Linked DNA regions of Sus scrofa. The protein of the gene in region 3 interacts with the protein of the main gene of each other region in a pairwise test. Links are inferred from orthologs where the notes say so. Each region holds a gene or a part of one and is shown on either strand. Other genes may lie near its edges.

Region 1 (4,089 bases), about 59 Mb from region 3:
AACTGAAGTCCTTGTGTGTCCCCTTCGGTCCATCTCCACCTCCAGCCCCGCCCCTGTGTCACCACTCTCTGACTTTTGTGTCTCTCATTCCCATGCATATTTTTATACTTTTTTTTTTTTTTTTGTCTTTTTGCTATTTCTTGGGCTGCTCCCGTGGCATATGGAGATTCCCAGGCTAGGGGTCTAATCGGAGCCATAGCCACCAGCCTTCACCGGGGCCACAGCAACGCGTGATCCGAACCGCGTCTGCAACCTGCACCACAGCTCATGGCAACGCCTGATCGTCAACCCACTGAGCAAGGGCAGGGACCGAACCCACAACCTCATGGTTCCTAGTTGGATTCGTTAACCACTGCGCCACAACGGGAACTCCATATTTTTATACTTTTATTACATAATTCCGTATCCACATTATCCAGCCTTTCAGAAATTATGTTGCTCAGATCCTGTTGCAGCTTGTCATTTTCATGCCATTGGATGTTACGAACTTTTAGGCATGAGGCTAAGTGCAGCTTTGGCTCTTTCACCGTATCATAATTGTGAATATTTGTTGAGCCCTTATTCTGCACCAGGCATGGTTTCCGGTACCTTACCTGCCTTAACAATTTTGTTGTGCCTTACCTAACCTTCACAACAAAATATTTTACAGATTTGGAAACAGAGGCATAGAAAGGCGAAAGTCTATACCCTTGGAAACTGTGCTCTTAGCCGCTAGACACCACCCTCTCTACTGCTGTGGGGTCTGTGGTATGAAAATACAGTCGTTTATCCATCTGTTCTCCTGTTTAAGGGCCATTGCTTTTTCTTTTTTCACTTTTTGGGGCTGCATCTGCAGCATATGGAGGTTCCCAGGCTAGGGGTCCAATCAGAGCTACAGCTGCTGGCCTGGGCCACAGCCGCAGCAACGCAGGATCCGTGCTGCATCTGCAAACCTACACCACAGCTCACGGCAATGCCAGATCCTTAACCCACTGAGCAGAGGCCAGGGATCGAACCCGCAATCTCATGGTTCCTGGTCGGATTCATTTCCACTGCGCCACAATGGGAACTCCAAGGGCCATTGCTTATTTTTGCAGACGCACCTCCACACTGGTCTCACCAGGTTTGAGGGTGGTTGTATTATCTTGCTTAAGTTCCTGCCTGTAAATAAATATCTATATCATCTCCCTTTATAGATGAGGAAATTATGGCTCAGAAAGGGTAAGTCACTTTCCCAAAGCTGCACAGCTCCAAAATGCCAGAGGTGGGCTGTGAACCTGGGTTCCTGCAATTGTAGAGCCCAGGGGTTTGCCCATATCCCATGTGACCCTCGGTCCCCCCTTGGCTTCTCCTCTCGGCTCTGTCCCTGGCAGCCTGCTCTCCCTCTTCCAGAACACCTTCCCCGCACCTGGCCTTCAGGCCCCCTCCTCTGGCCACCCTCCACCGTCCTCCTCCCAGAGAAGGGGCCCAACCGGAAGGCCAGTTCATGTTAGGAAATTCCAGCCACGTGAGCCAAGCCAAGCCCGGGATTCTGAGCAGCCGGTGGCTTTAGGAGAAACTGAAACTTGGCTCGCTGGGGGCGGGGTGGCCACTGGGGATTTAAAGAGCTGCCACTTCCTTGGGCCCCCAGAGGGCACGGGGAGGTCACAGCAGCCGAGGGCCACCCTGAACCGGGTGTGAGCCTCTGTTTTCCCTCCAAACATGCACCTCTGCAGAGGCGACGAGCTGCTGACTGGGATGGTGAGTACAGGGGACGGGATTCAGGAGAGGAGAAGGGGAATAGGCCCCAGGGCGCCCGGTGCCAGTTTGGTTCACATGGGCTCACCCCCGCCCCCCGACCCTGCCGGCCTCAGTTTCCTCGGAGCATCCTTGGAATGAGGGTTTACCTGCTCTCCCATTGCAGATCCAGCCTCCAGTCCAGAGCCCGGCCTCTGGTTACTGCTCTCTCCTAACCTACCTGTTCTTTCATTGCCATAATGGGAGACTTCTCTGGCCATGGTTCTGGTGGAGGCCTTGCCCCTCTCCCGGGACCCAGGTACCAGAGTCCCACCTGCTTCTCTCACTGCAGGTCTTTCCCCGGGGTTCCTGTCTTTTGGCCCCAGCACCTGGAAGGGATCTGCTGTGGCCATGAACCTGGAAGCAGAGTCCTCAGCCAGGGAGGCCAGGGTCTTGCCTGAGATTTCTGCACTCAGAACTTGCAGAAATCAGAGTGATCTGTGGGAGGGGGGTTGGGCTGTGGGGTCCCCAGCGTTTCCTCTTGTCTGACCTTCCAGAACCCTGGGTGTTTGGGTCAAATATTTCATCTAAGCTTCATGAACCCCAGTGTAGGGGGACGGTCATGGCTGTGAACCTCTGAGGCCACAGTTCTGTCAGAAGGGACTCCATTCATTCATTCATTAAAGGCTACTTGTCCTACTAGAATGCGAGCAACTTGGGGCAGGAATTTTTTTTCTCTGTGGTTTGCTGCTCTGTCCCCATAGCTCAGTGCATGGCACCTAGTAGGTGCTCAAAAAATATTTGTTGGATAAATGAACTTCAGTTGTGGGCCTGAGCTGGCCACGGGCACTTGGAACCCAATCAGAATGCAGACCTGCTCTCACAGACGAAGCTCAAGGCTAGAGAAATCAACACCTTGACTGTGGAAATAATAGCTATTGGAACAACGGCCGCCTTGTATTAACCCTGGTCCGTGGGCTGGCCTTGGGCTGTCTGCCTTACGACGCTTGAGGAAGGTACTGGTCTTCCCTTGTGCAGATGAGGCAGCTGGACACAGGGAAGGCCTGCCCAGGGCAACAGGGCTGATAAAGAGAGTGTGGGTGTGAGTTCCTGTGGTGGCTCATTGGTTAACGAACCTGACTTGTATCCATGAGGACCTGGGTTTGATCCCTGGCCTTGCTCAGTGGGTTAAGGATCCAGCATTGCCAGGAGCTGTGGTGTAGGTCACAGACGTGGCTTGGATTCCAAGTGGCTGTGGCTGTAGCTCCAATTGGACCCCTAGCCTGGGACCCTCCATGTGCCATGGGTGCGGCCCTAAAAAGAAAAAAAAAAAAAAAGAGTGTGGGTGTGAAGTCAGTTCTGTCTGGGTTTGAATCCCAGACTCTCATCTTGTGCTGCCCCAACGTGAGCTGTGAGTAGGACATGTGGGTGACTGGGACTCCACCCAGGGGTGCTGTGTGTGCGATGGGGTGTGTGGACACCGAGGGAGCCAGAGATGGCTTCTGGGAGAAAGGGGACCCTCAGGGACTTAACTCAAGAAGGGTGTATGGCTTTACAGCCCGCCAGCCCCTGTAGGGACCCCTGAGCCCTCTGCCTCTCACCTTACAGGACTCTGAGGAGCATCAGAGACAGCTGAAGAAGAAACAGAAGAACCGGGTGGCCGCCCAGAGAAGCCGGCAGAAGCACACGAACAAAGCGGATGCCTTGCACCAGGTGGGGATGCTTCCCTTCCCATCCCTGACGTCACGTGCCTGGCCCGGCCACCTCTTCTCCATCCGGCCTGTGAGCAGTTCCACCTCCGCTGCTGTGTGTGCCGGGGGTGGGGCAGGGGGGCTGCAGCTGTGATTTGGAAATTCCTGAGTGTTGAGTGGAAGCCGTGCTCCAGATACACACTGGGCTCCAGGGGCACAGCAGGGCATCCTCAGCCTGGGCCTGCCCTCGAGGCAGTCTCCCATCTAGGGGGAGGAAAAGGGAAGGAGGGGCAAACAGGGAGAATCCCGTGGGGACCAGCTGGGGAGCTCGTTAAAATGCAGACCCCTGGAGTTCCCGTTGTGGCGCAGTGGTTAACGAATCCGACTAGGAACCATGAGGTTGCGGGTTCGGTCCCTGCCCTTGCTCAGTGGGTTAACGATCCGGCGTTGCCGTGAGCTGTGGTGTAGGTTGCAGACGCGGCTCGGATCCCGCGTTGCTGTGGCTCTGGTGTAGGCCGGTGGCTACAGCTCCGATTCGACCCCTAGCCTGGGAACCTCCATATGCCGTGGGAGCGGCCCAAGAAATAGCAACAACAACAACAACAAAAAAAAGACAAAAATGCAGACCCCTGATCCCTCCCCACCCACCTGAGGAGGCTGGAATGGGGTCTGGGGGCTACACTGTGATGACCACTCTGCCCGT
Region 2 (4,095 bases), on a different chromosome or scaffold from region 3:
TTGTTTTGCTCAGCTTATCCTTAGGACAATAGTGTCTTAGGGCAGAAATTCAGCCAGTGGACACAACATCCCTTATGGGCCATATTTTCTGCCCGTCAGGACCAAGGAAGGTAAGTATTGAGTTTTGAGCCATGCTGGGAATAAGGCAAGGCATTTTTTTTTAAAAAAAAAAAGCCAGGATGGCCAGGTGTGTGTGAGAGACTGCTCACTGAGAACTCTACAAACGTGCCCCTGACAGGCGAGTAAAGTAACACCACAATGAACAGCTGACTTCATGGTATTTTACAGTCTTCTGGGGCCTTCTAATCCATGGGTTTATTTGCTTTTCGAAACAGCCCTCAGAGGGAGGCAGGACAGGTTTTATAATCCTCCATTCACAGACAGAGACACTGAGGGGCACAGAGTTCAAGTGAGCCACCCAAAGCCACAGACACATTACGTGGTAGAGGCAGGAGTCAAATCTTGGTTATTTTGACTCCAAGTACAGTGCTCATTTCACTGTATTTTTTGTTTGTTCCTTTTGCCTTTTTTTTTTTTTTAACTGTTTTTCCATTCTGGACTCTGGCCTTGTGACCTTCTTGAATCATTAAGATCTCAGGCCAATCCCGAGCCCCTGTAAGACCTTCAATATAGGAGGTGTCTTTTTTCTAAAGAGAGCACCTGCCAAGAGGCACAGGTGATGAGTAAACGTTTAGAGCATCAATTCCAGGCCATCCCCTCTGGCTTTCAGACCCACCACAGCCTCTTCTGTCTGATAGTCAGGAAGGGACCGTGGCCTTGGGCCCCTTTGCCCCCAGTCCACTCCAGGGCAGGCTGGACCACAGGGCGAGAGAGGAAGGCCTGGCACAGGGCAGAACCAGCAGCTGCTTTCAGGGAACAACAGAAAGAAATCCCAGCCCCGCTGCTTTATTTTGATTTAAAAATCAAGTCTGGTGACAATGGAAACTCTTTCCCTGCTGTCCTCTCCTTTCTGCCTGTGTTGACAGAAGACGGACTTGCTAATTCTGGCTGGGGTTTTTCCCTCCCAGGGCTGTTTTTCTCTTTTATCTTCATCAATTGAAGAGAGCTATTCTGCCTTTCAAACTGTCGGAAGGTATCTGGGGTTTTGTGTATTTTTTTTTTCTTTCTTTCACATAATTCTGTGGGTCTTTTCCCAGATATGTATTTTCTCTCAAATTGACTTCTAACTTGTTTAAGTTTCCGCCCATGTGACTTCCAGCGCGAGTTACCAGAAACCACAAGAGAGAGAGAGGGCGCGAGCCCCAAAGCAAGCGACATGTCCCTGTGGGGAGCAGAGCCTCTGCACCCCAGAGTGAGGAGGACGCCGGGGTCAGAGGTGGCTGCAAGGCGGGCAGAGGAGGGCCCTGCGAAGGGGGGTGGGCTCGTGGCCCCGAAGCAATCAGGAAGGGAGGCCGGCTGGTGACAGGAGAGCCCGGAGGCCCGTGGGGCTGCGTGGACAGCCCGGAAGATCACAGCCATGCCTCACAGCTCCGACAGCAGCGACTCCAGCTTCAGCCGCTCTCCACCCCCCAGCAAACAGGTAGGGTCCTGCCTCCCGCTCCTCCTCCCCTCCGATTCTCCCCGGAGGACAGAGGGAGAGGCGAGGGGATGGCTGGTGGCAGGAGCACTCTCTGAGACTTAAGACACGGAGATCTGCCCTGAAGCTGTGCATCTCATCTCGGCAGAGACCCTCGTCCTTCTGCCTCTCCTGCCAAATGATGCCCCCCCTCCCCGCCCCGTTCCCCCGCCAAAGCCCATCGCCTCCACCTCGCTAGCTTCCCAGCCCATGAAGCTTTCTAGGAAGCCAGGAGGAAGAGAATGAGCGCCAAAGACCTGGCCTCTCAGAAGAGTCTACCTCTCTCCAAGGCAGTAGCAGAGTGAGAGGAGGAGCGTTAAACGCGGGCTGCGGGGCGCGCACACCGCGAATGCTAGATGGTTGCCTGGGAGACAGCCTGCAGGGTGAGAGAGGAAGGGATCGGGAAAAGGAACAAGAAAGAAAAGCGATTCCCACCCCTCCTCCCCTCCACCTCCAGGAGGAGGGCGGCCCCCCGAACCAGCACAGAAGGATCTATCTTTTCCACCCTGCACGGCACCTGTTGCTAGCGCAGGCGGCAGAGAGGGCGCCAGGGGAGGGGGAGGAAATGAATCAAGAGATGCTTCAGGGCACTTGGAGCCGTTCCCTGGTAGCTCAGCTCAGCTCTGGGGAAAGCAGAGAGATGAAGGTGGAGATTCCGGGAGCGTCTGGAGTCTAGATGGCAACTTCTAACTCAGAAGTTTTCAGCTTGGAATTTGCCAAAGAACCAGGGCGTCCTGGCTTCCCGGTTGCTCCTGGGGCTTTCTGTTCACCACATTCCTTGACAGTCCTCCCTAGAGGAAGCCCTCTTCTTTCCCATCCAATACATCAGTGGAGTATAATTTCTTCTCTGACTTTGTGGTTTGAAAACTGCATTCTTTCCTTAGCACAGATATCCAAGAGAGCTTTCAAAATGCTGCAGCCTGAATAAAAGTATATGAACATATACTGCAGCTTCTGTCATCAATATCTTGAGAAGCCACCTGCAGGAAGGAGTCCTAGTGGAGACCTCTAGAGGACAAGCGATCCAGTCCTCTGCTCTAGATGCTATCAGAGCTGTTCAGACTGCCTGGAAGTCTATGCTCTTCTTAGGAAGGAAATTACTCATGGCTTCCATGGTAACCTGGTTCCCCATCCCCCTTAGAGGAAGAGCACTTCCTTCCTATCTACCCAATGCCCTCCAACTGCAATGGCCTGGAAGTACTGGGCCTATTGGTGAGACATATGCTTGGTGGGCAGAGTCTTGCCCTAGCAGTGCCGCTCTGGTCTTGGGGAACGTGAGCGGGGATGGGGCAGGAGGTGCAGAAGTTTCACACAGACCCCTACACTTATCCTGCAGCATCTGGGAGAAAGCCAGAGCTAACCTCTCTGCCCAAGCAAAGCACATGCCCCTCTATGGGGTGCACTTAGAAAACACCCAAAGGTCCCCTTGTCCTCCTAAACACCCATCCGCTACCTGCCACGGCCAGGTAATCTCCACCAGCAAAGCTGTTCATGGCCTCCAGTTTGTACCAGGCACTGTGCTCAGCGCCATGGGCGATATCGGGGTCCCTGGACATAATGGAGGGGATTCGGAGAAAGAAGAGGCAGATCTAGGATGGGGACCTCAGCCCAGGGATGCAGCAGAAGACACATGATGTACAAATCAGCGAGATGGTGGTAGCTGGAGTTGCGGGGGGTGGCTTGGACAGGCCTCAGACTCAGCATTGGAGGCTCTAACTACCAGATGACTGTGAACTCTTGGGCAAGCTCTTTGAGCCTCAGTCTCCGGCACATATAAGATGGAAATAATCATATCAACTTCACAGAATTGGGGGATTGAACAAGAGCACCTTTGAGCAAACACACTTGCCCTGAAGCTGGCACATAGTAAGTACTCAACAAAGTTTTGGGGGAAAAAAATAGCAAAAGGGTTCTAGGCCAAAAGTGAGAGGGTAAGGGTGGAGCAGCCCTGAAGAGGAGAGGTGATAAAACACACTTCATCGCCTTAACCATCTCTCTCCAAATAGCCCTATAGAGGTGTCAAACTCTTTTGCCCTCTTCCTGTAAGTTTTGGCCAAAAAAGTTATAGAGACTTAAGAGAGTGTAACAGAGTGTGGGGAAGCATTCTCTCTGGGGTTCACCCTTTTGGTAAATAAATAGTGCGCAAAGATAGAGGAAGAGATGGAAGGGAGAATGGCCAGAGAGCAAGCCCTGTGAGATCCTGCTTCAGCTCTGGAGAGAGGAGGTAACACCTAATTCTCATCGTCTCTGCTTCCCAGGACTCATCCGATGATGTGAGAAAAGTTCAGAGAAGGGAGAAAAATCGCATTGCTGCCCAGAAAAGCCGGCAGAGGCAGACACAGAAAGCTGACACCCTCCATCTGGTGAGTGCTCAGACCTCTCTTCCCCCTCCTGAACTGCAGGCTTTATTCCCACCACCTGTGAATGCCTGGACCATAGCTTTGAGTCTGCCTGTGTGGGGATGTATATGCGGAGCAGTAAATGGAGGGGTGAGGGCTACGGGTGAGTAGGGGAGTGGA
Region 3 (4,415 bases):
TGTACACCACACACACACACCCCAGCCACAGAGCCCACAGACACACATGGGCCAGCCACAGACCCCACACTCACACACACACCTCAAACAGGCAAGCCCTAAACCTCACATACACAGACACACACCAGACACAAACAGGTTAGCCATATGAACTCCAAAACAACCTATACTTGTGCATCTAGGCCAGCCACATGCAACCTATTCCATAGATCATACACACACACAAACACACACACCTTCCCCCCCTCACCCCCACCCAAACCAGACAGGCCCTACACACCCCTGTGGGGCTGGGCCAACAAACAGACACATACCCTGAGAAGATGCCTCACACACACTATCACAGGCCCTGACAGGCCAGCCACACACAAACCCACAGCCAACCAGACACACATGCGCCCTTGGACCTTGCTTAGGTGCTGTGAGGCTCTGGGCTTCCCAGCCCATATCTCTAACCCCACCCAGAAATCCTGGTGCTTCCTCTCTCCAACATTGTCACCCCCCACACTGTTTGTCACTTCCCCTAGGAGGCCCAGTTCAACAGCCTCAGGCTTTCATAGGGTGTGGGCCTATTTTCTCAGCACATCCCCTGAAAATGAGGTACCCAGGATCTCAGCCAGGCTCAGGCCCCCCAAGACTTCACCAGCAGCATGGAGGGGGGGTGACAGAAACAGCTTTGTGGGAAACTCCCCTCGTGCCCAGCTGAGTCAGCCTGAGGAGACAAACTCTCCTCTCCTTCCTGCTTCCAAGAAAACTGAGCAGCTTCCTCTCCAGGAGAGGGGTGAGGGACCCCCCAAACCACAGAGATTGGGTAGGGAAGCTGCTGGCAAGCCAGGGTTCCTGGGGGGAGGGCCTCCGTGATTCTCAGCCTTTTCCTGCCAGCTGCCTGTCCACACCCAGGGGCAGGGACGAGGGAGTCTGGGTGCTGTGACTTGCGGGTTCTCGCCCTGGCCTGCCCACTGGCTGACTCACCAGCAGCCCCCAGCCCAGTTTTCTATTAAGGGCCCTGCCAGCCAGTGGAGCCGGCTGTGTGTGTGGGGGGGGGGGTGGGGGGGTGTCACCAGGCTATTTATAAGAAGGAGAAGTCCCTCCTGCCAAGGCCAAAAGCCCCAGAGAGACCTGTGGGTGGGGGTGGGAGAACTTCCTCCTTATCCAGTCCCCTAGGCCCCCGGGCCCTGGGCATGAGGGAAGCCTGGACACAGACTCCTTGGGCAGATGCTGGTCTGGAACCCAGGGCCTGGGCAGTCCCCAGCTGCTAGTCTGGGCACCCAGGGCTGATGGAGGAGGGGGCTCTCCTCTCTGGGCCAGCCTTGGCGCCAGTGGGACGGCGTGAGGGGGTGGTGCCCAGGCCACAAGGGTGAGACTGGCAGGGGCCTGGAACCGGCTGTACCAGCTCAGCTGGGCCCCCGCCCTCCCTCACTGGCCCATCCCCACCCCCTGCTCAAACACCCGTGCAGAGTGCAGAGAGTGACCCGACCCCACTCCAACATGCCGGCCTGCCCCCAAACACACTAGCACCCCTCTGCCCTGTGCCCAACCCTGTTTGTCTAAAGGATAAAGGAGACCTTTTTTTTTTCTCTTTCTTTTTCGGGACCCAGGTGTGGCATATGGACGTTCCCAGGCTAGGGGTCGAATCAGAGCTACAACTGCCGGCCGGCCTACACCACAGTCACAGCGATGCCGGCTCCGAGCCACTTCTGCGACCTACGCTACAGCACAGGGCAACTCTGGACATCCTCATGGATACTAGTCGGGTTCTTTTCTGCTAAGTCTCTATAGGAATTCCAGGAGACTCTTCTTGAAAGGGCCTGCAGAACTTGACAAACAGCTGGCACTGCATAAATGCCTCTCTAGTTGTGATTATCCACACAAAAAGAGCTGAAATTCTGGAGTCAGACATCTCAAGTTCTAGATCAATTCCAGTGCTTATAGCTATGTGACATGGGGCAAAGTTCCTTACCTTTCTGTTCCTAAGTTTTTTAGTCTGTTAAATGGGGATACAAAGAGCATGCATTTCGCTGGATTGTTGGAAACAGGCAATGAGTTATTCCATGTAAACCACTTAGAAGAGTGCCTGGCCCATGGTAAGAGCCATATAAGTGTTAGCTATTAAAATAATAATTATTATTTCTCAGTCTGTTGGCCTGTCTCAAGAGTCTCTGAGTTTGCATGACTCTAATCTTGCATCTCTCCCTGCCCTGACCCCCACCCCCATACATCCACTTTTCCTTGCTCAGGCCTTGCCCTCCATCTCTACGCTCATGGGCCAGTCTTGCCTCTCTCCAAGGCTCCCCTGGCACAGCCAGCTTCAGCACTGGTCAGGGATGACTCACTGTGTACTCCTAGCCTGTGGGACCTGCAGGTTAGCCTCCTGAGATGCTGCCCTCCAACCAGACCTGCCCAGCCCCCCAACACTACCCCGTTGCGCCCCCGCAGGGCCCAGCCAGATGTCAGCTGCAGTTATTAGCATGGGCGGGAGACACAGGCCTGGCAGCATGCCTGCCAGACTCAGCGGCCACTGGAATCTCCCTTGAGCCTGGGGAGGGGGAGGGGAGCAGTTCAAGCAAAGGAGGAGGGGAGGGGGTACCCAGAGGTCACAAGGACCCTCCAAAGATGGGGACACCCCCAGCTTCTCATGGGACCTTCCTCCCCAACACCACCACCGGCTCTGCTGGACTTCCCCCTGCCCCCACATAGCTCAGTTTCTCTTTCGCCTCTTTCGTTTTCCTTCTCTCCTCCACACTTGGTGAGCTGTGTCTGCCCTACAAAGGCTGGCTATCTCCTCTCCCTCAGCCTAAGTCTACCCTAAAGAAACTTCCATGTTTCCAAAAGATAGACATGTCTCTTTCAAGACAGAGAGGAGACAGATACTGAGAGGCTCATCTCTGGTTCTAGTGGCTCATAGCCTACCTCCTGGAAGTCCCACCTTAAGTATAACTAAAGCCTCAGCATCTAAACCTTCACCCATTTTGGGGAAGAGGCTCTGGAGAGGTTCCCTCAGATTCGACTCATGGATTTTCAGGTCCTCTCTGTCAGCAGGGGAAGGGAGCCCTCAGATGAGGGAGTGTGGATCCCCCTTTGGGTATTCTGGATGGTGAGGAGACCCTCACACTAAAATAGGAGTAGGGCCTCTCACCCACGTGAGTGAAGGAGGAAGCACCCCAGCCCCTAGGGATGTATTTGGGGAAGGACCCCAGATCTCCTGGCAGAAAGTAAGGGCACCCAGCATGAGGTAGGAGGCCGTCGTGCCCGCCCGCCCAGGCGCCGGGGTCGCCCAGAGGCATTGGCGCGCCCCTTCTGCGCCCATCGGGCCGGGGGCGAAGTCCGACCCAGGCCCGCGGGCAGGCGCGGACCTGCCAGGCTGGGTCGGGCTGGGCAGGGCCTGGCAGGACGCGGCCCCAGAGCGGCTGGGTGGGGCTGGGCCAGGAGGCCGTGGGGGCCCCGGGGGCGGCGGTCGGGGCTGGTCGGGACTAGCCGTCTGGGGGCCCGGGCGCGCCCTGGGACCTGGCAGATACTCGGGCTCCCGGCTCCTGGCCGGGGGCCCCGGGACAGTGCTGACCCCACCCCTTCCTGTGCCCTTATATGGGCGTCAGAGAGAGACTCCGGGGGCCGCCCCGCCCCCAGTCCTGCCTGCGGACTCCGGCCTGTTGCCTTGGCGACCAGGCCCCGCTCCCCGGCGCGTCCCCCTCCGTCCGGCTAATGGAACCGTCCCCGGATTGCTAGCCTTTACGACACTAGGGCTGAACCACTGCAGGGGTGGGGGTCGATGACTGGGGACCTCTGCGGTTGGGTGTGTTCCGCTCGCTCTGACTTCCTCGGGGGTCGCAAGCCCAGGTTCCTCTTCCGAGGCGCAGGACCCGGCTGGACCCAGGGCGGGGCATATGGTCCCGTAGGATTCGAGTGACGGAGGCAGGGCCCGGCTCCTTCCCCCGGGGCTGTTGCCACACTTCCTGCCGCGGCGCTCTTTCCCCAGCCTGTTTCTAAGGAAGAGTGGGGTTGGGCGACCGCGCCCCGGCCGTCAGGCTGGGTCCAGGCACCAGGAGTCTTCACGGTGTCGGTCAAGCCGAGGATCACTGGGGGAGGGCTTTGGGGGTGGGGAGAGAGTATACTGGAACTTAGAGGTCACTCACGAGAGGGGGCGCCCATCATGGAAGATCTAGCAGTCCAGGTATCCTGGATCCTCAAAGACCCTTCCTCCCATGTTTCAGCCAGGGCCCCTCCCTTAGTGTCATCCCAGCTCCGAGGGGGTGCCCCGACCCTTCTAATTCTTTTTCATCGGGGCTTCGCAGTTGACCCCAATGACCCCTAGCCTCTGACAACGTCCCAGTCTTCTACCCCACATATTTTCCTTGACTCAGTGTACCCCAGAACCCTCACTTTTTCTGCTTATCTGGGTCCCCCCAGTTCCTTACTCT

Evidence for each region.
Region 1: the proteins of JUNB (region 3) and BATF2 interact in binary tests that used the Homo sapiens proteins (3 or more experiments, as listed by UniProt). The link is inferred for Sus scrofa from reciprocal best matches to the Homo sapiens genes JUNB and BATF2.
Region 2: the proteins of JUNB (region 3) and BATF interact in binary tests that used the Homo sapiens proteins (3 or more experiments, as listed by UniProt). The link is inferred for Sus scrofa from reciprocal best matches to the Homo sapiens genes JUNB and BATF.

The regions. Positions count from the first base shown.
Region 1 is NC_010444.4:7,178,758-7,182,846, forward strand, and holds the start of BATF2 (basic leucine zipper transcriptional factor ATF-like 2), read left to right. Parts: upstream 1-1,261; 5' UTR 1,262-1,680; coding exon 1,681-1,719; intron 1,720-3,303; coding exon 3,304-3,477; intron 3,478-4,089.
Region 2 is NC_010449.5:98,668,944-98,673,038, forward strand, and holds the start of BATF (basic leucine zipper transcriptional factor ATF-like), read left to right. Parts: upstream 1-1,267; 5' UTR 1,268-1,477; coding exon 1,478-1,540; intron 1,541-3,834; coding exon 3,835-3,939; intron 3,940-4,095. UniProt on the Homo sapiens protein: AP-1 family transcription factor that controls the differentiation of lineage-specific cells in the immune system: specifically mediates the differentiation of T-helper 17 cells (Th17), follicular T-helper cells (TfH), CD8(+) dendritic cells and class-switch recombination (CSR) in B-cells.
Region 3 is NC_010444.4:66,216,614-66,221,028, reverse strand, and holds the start of JUNB (transcription factor jun-B), read left to right. Parts: upstream 1-1,593; 5' UTR 1,594-4,415. UniProt on the Homo sapiens protein: Transcription factor involved in regulating gene activity following the primary growth factor response. Binds to the DNA sequence 5'-TGA[GC]TCA-3'.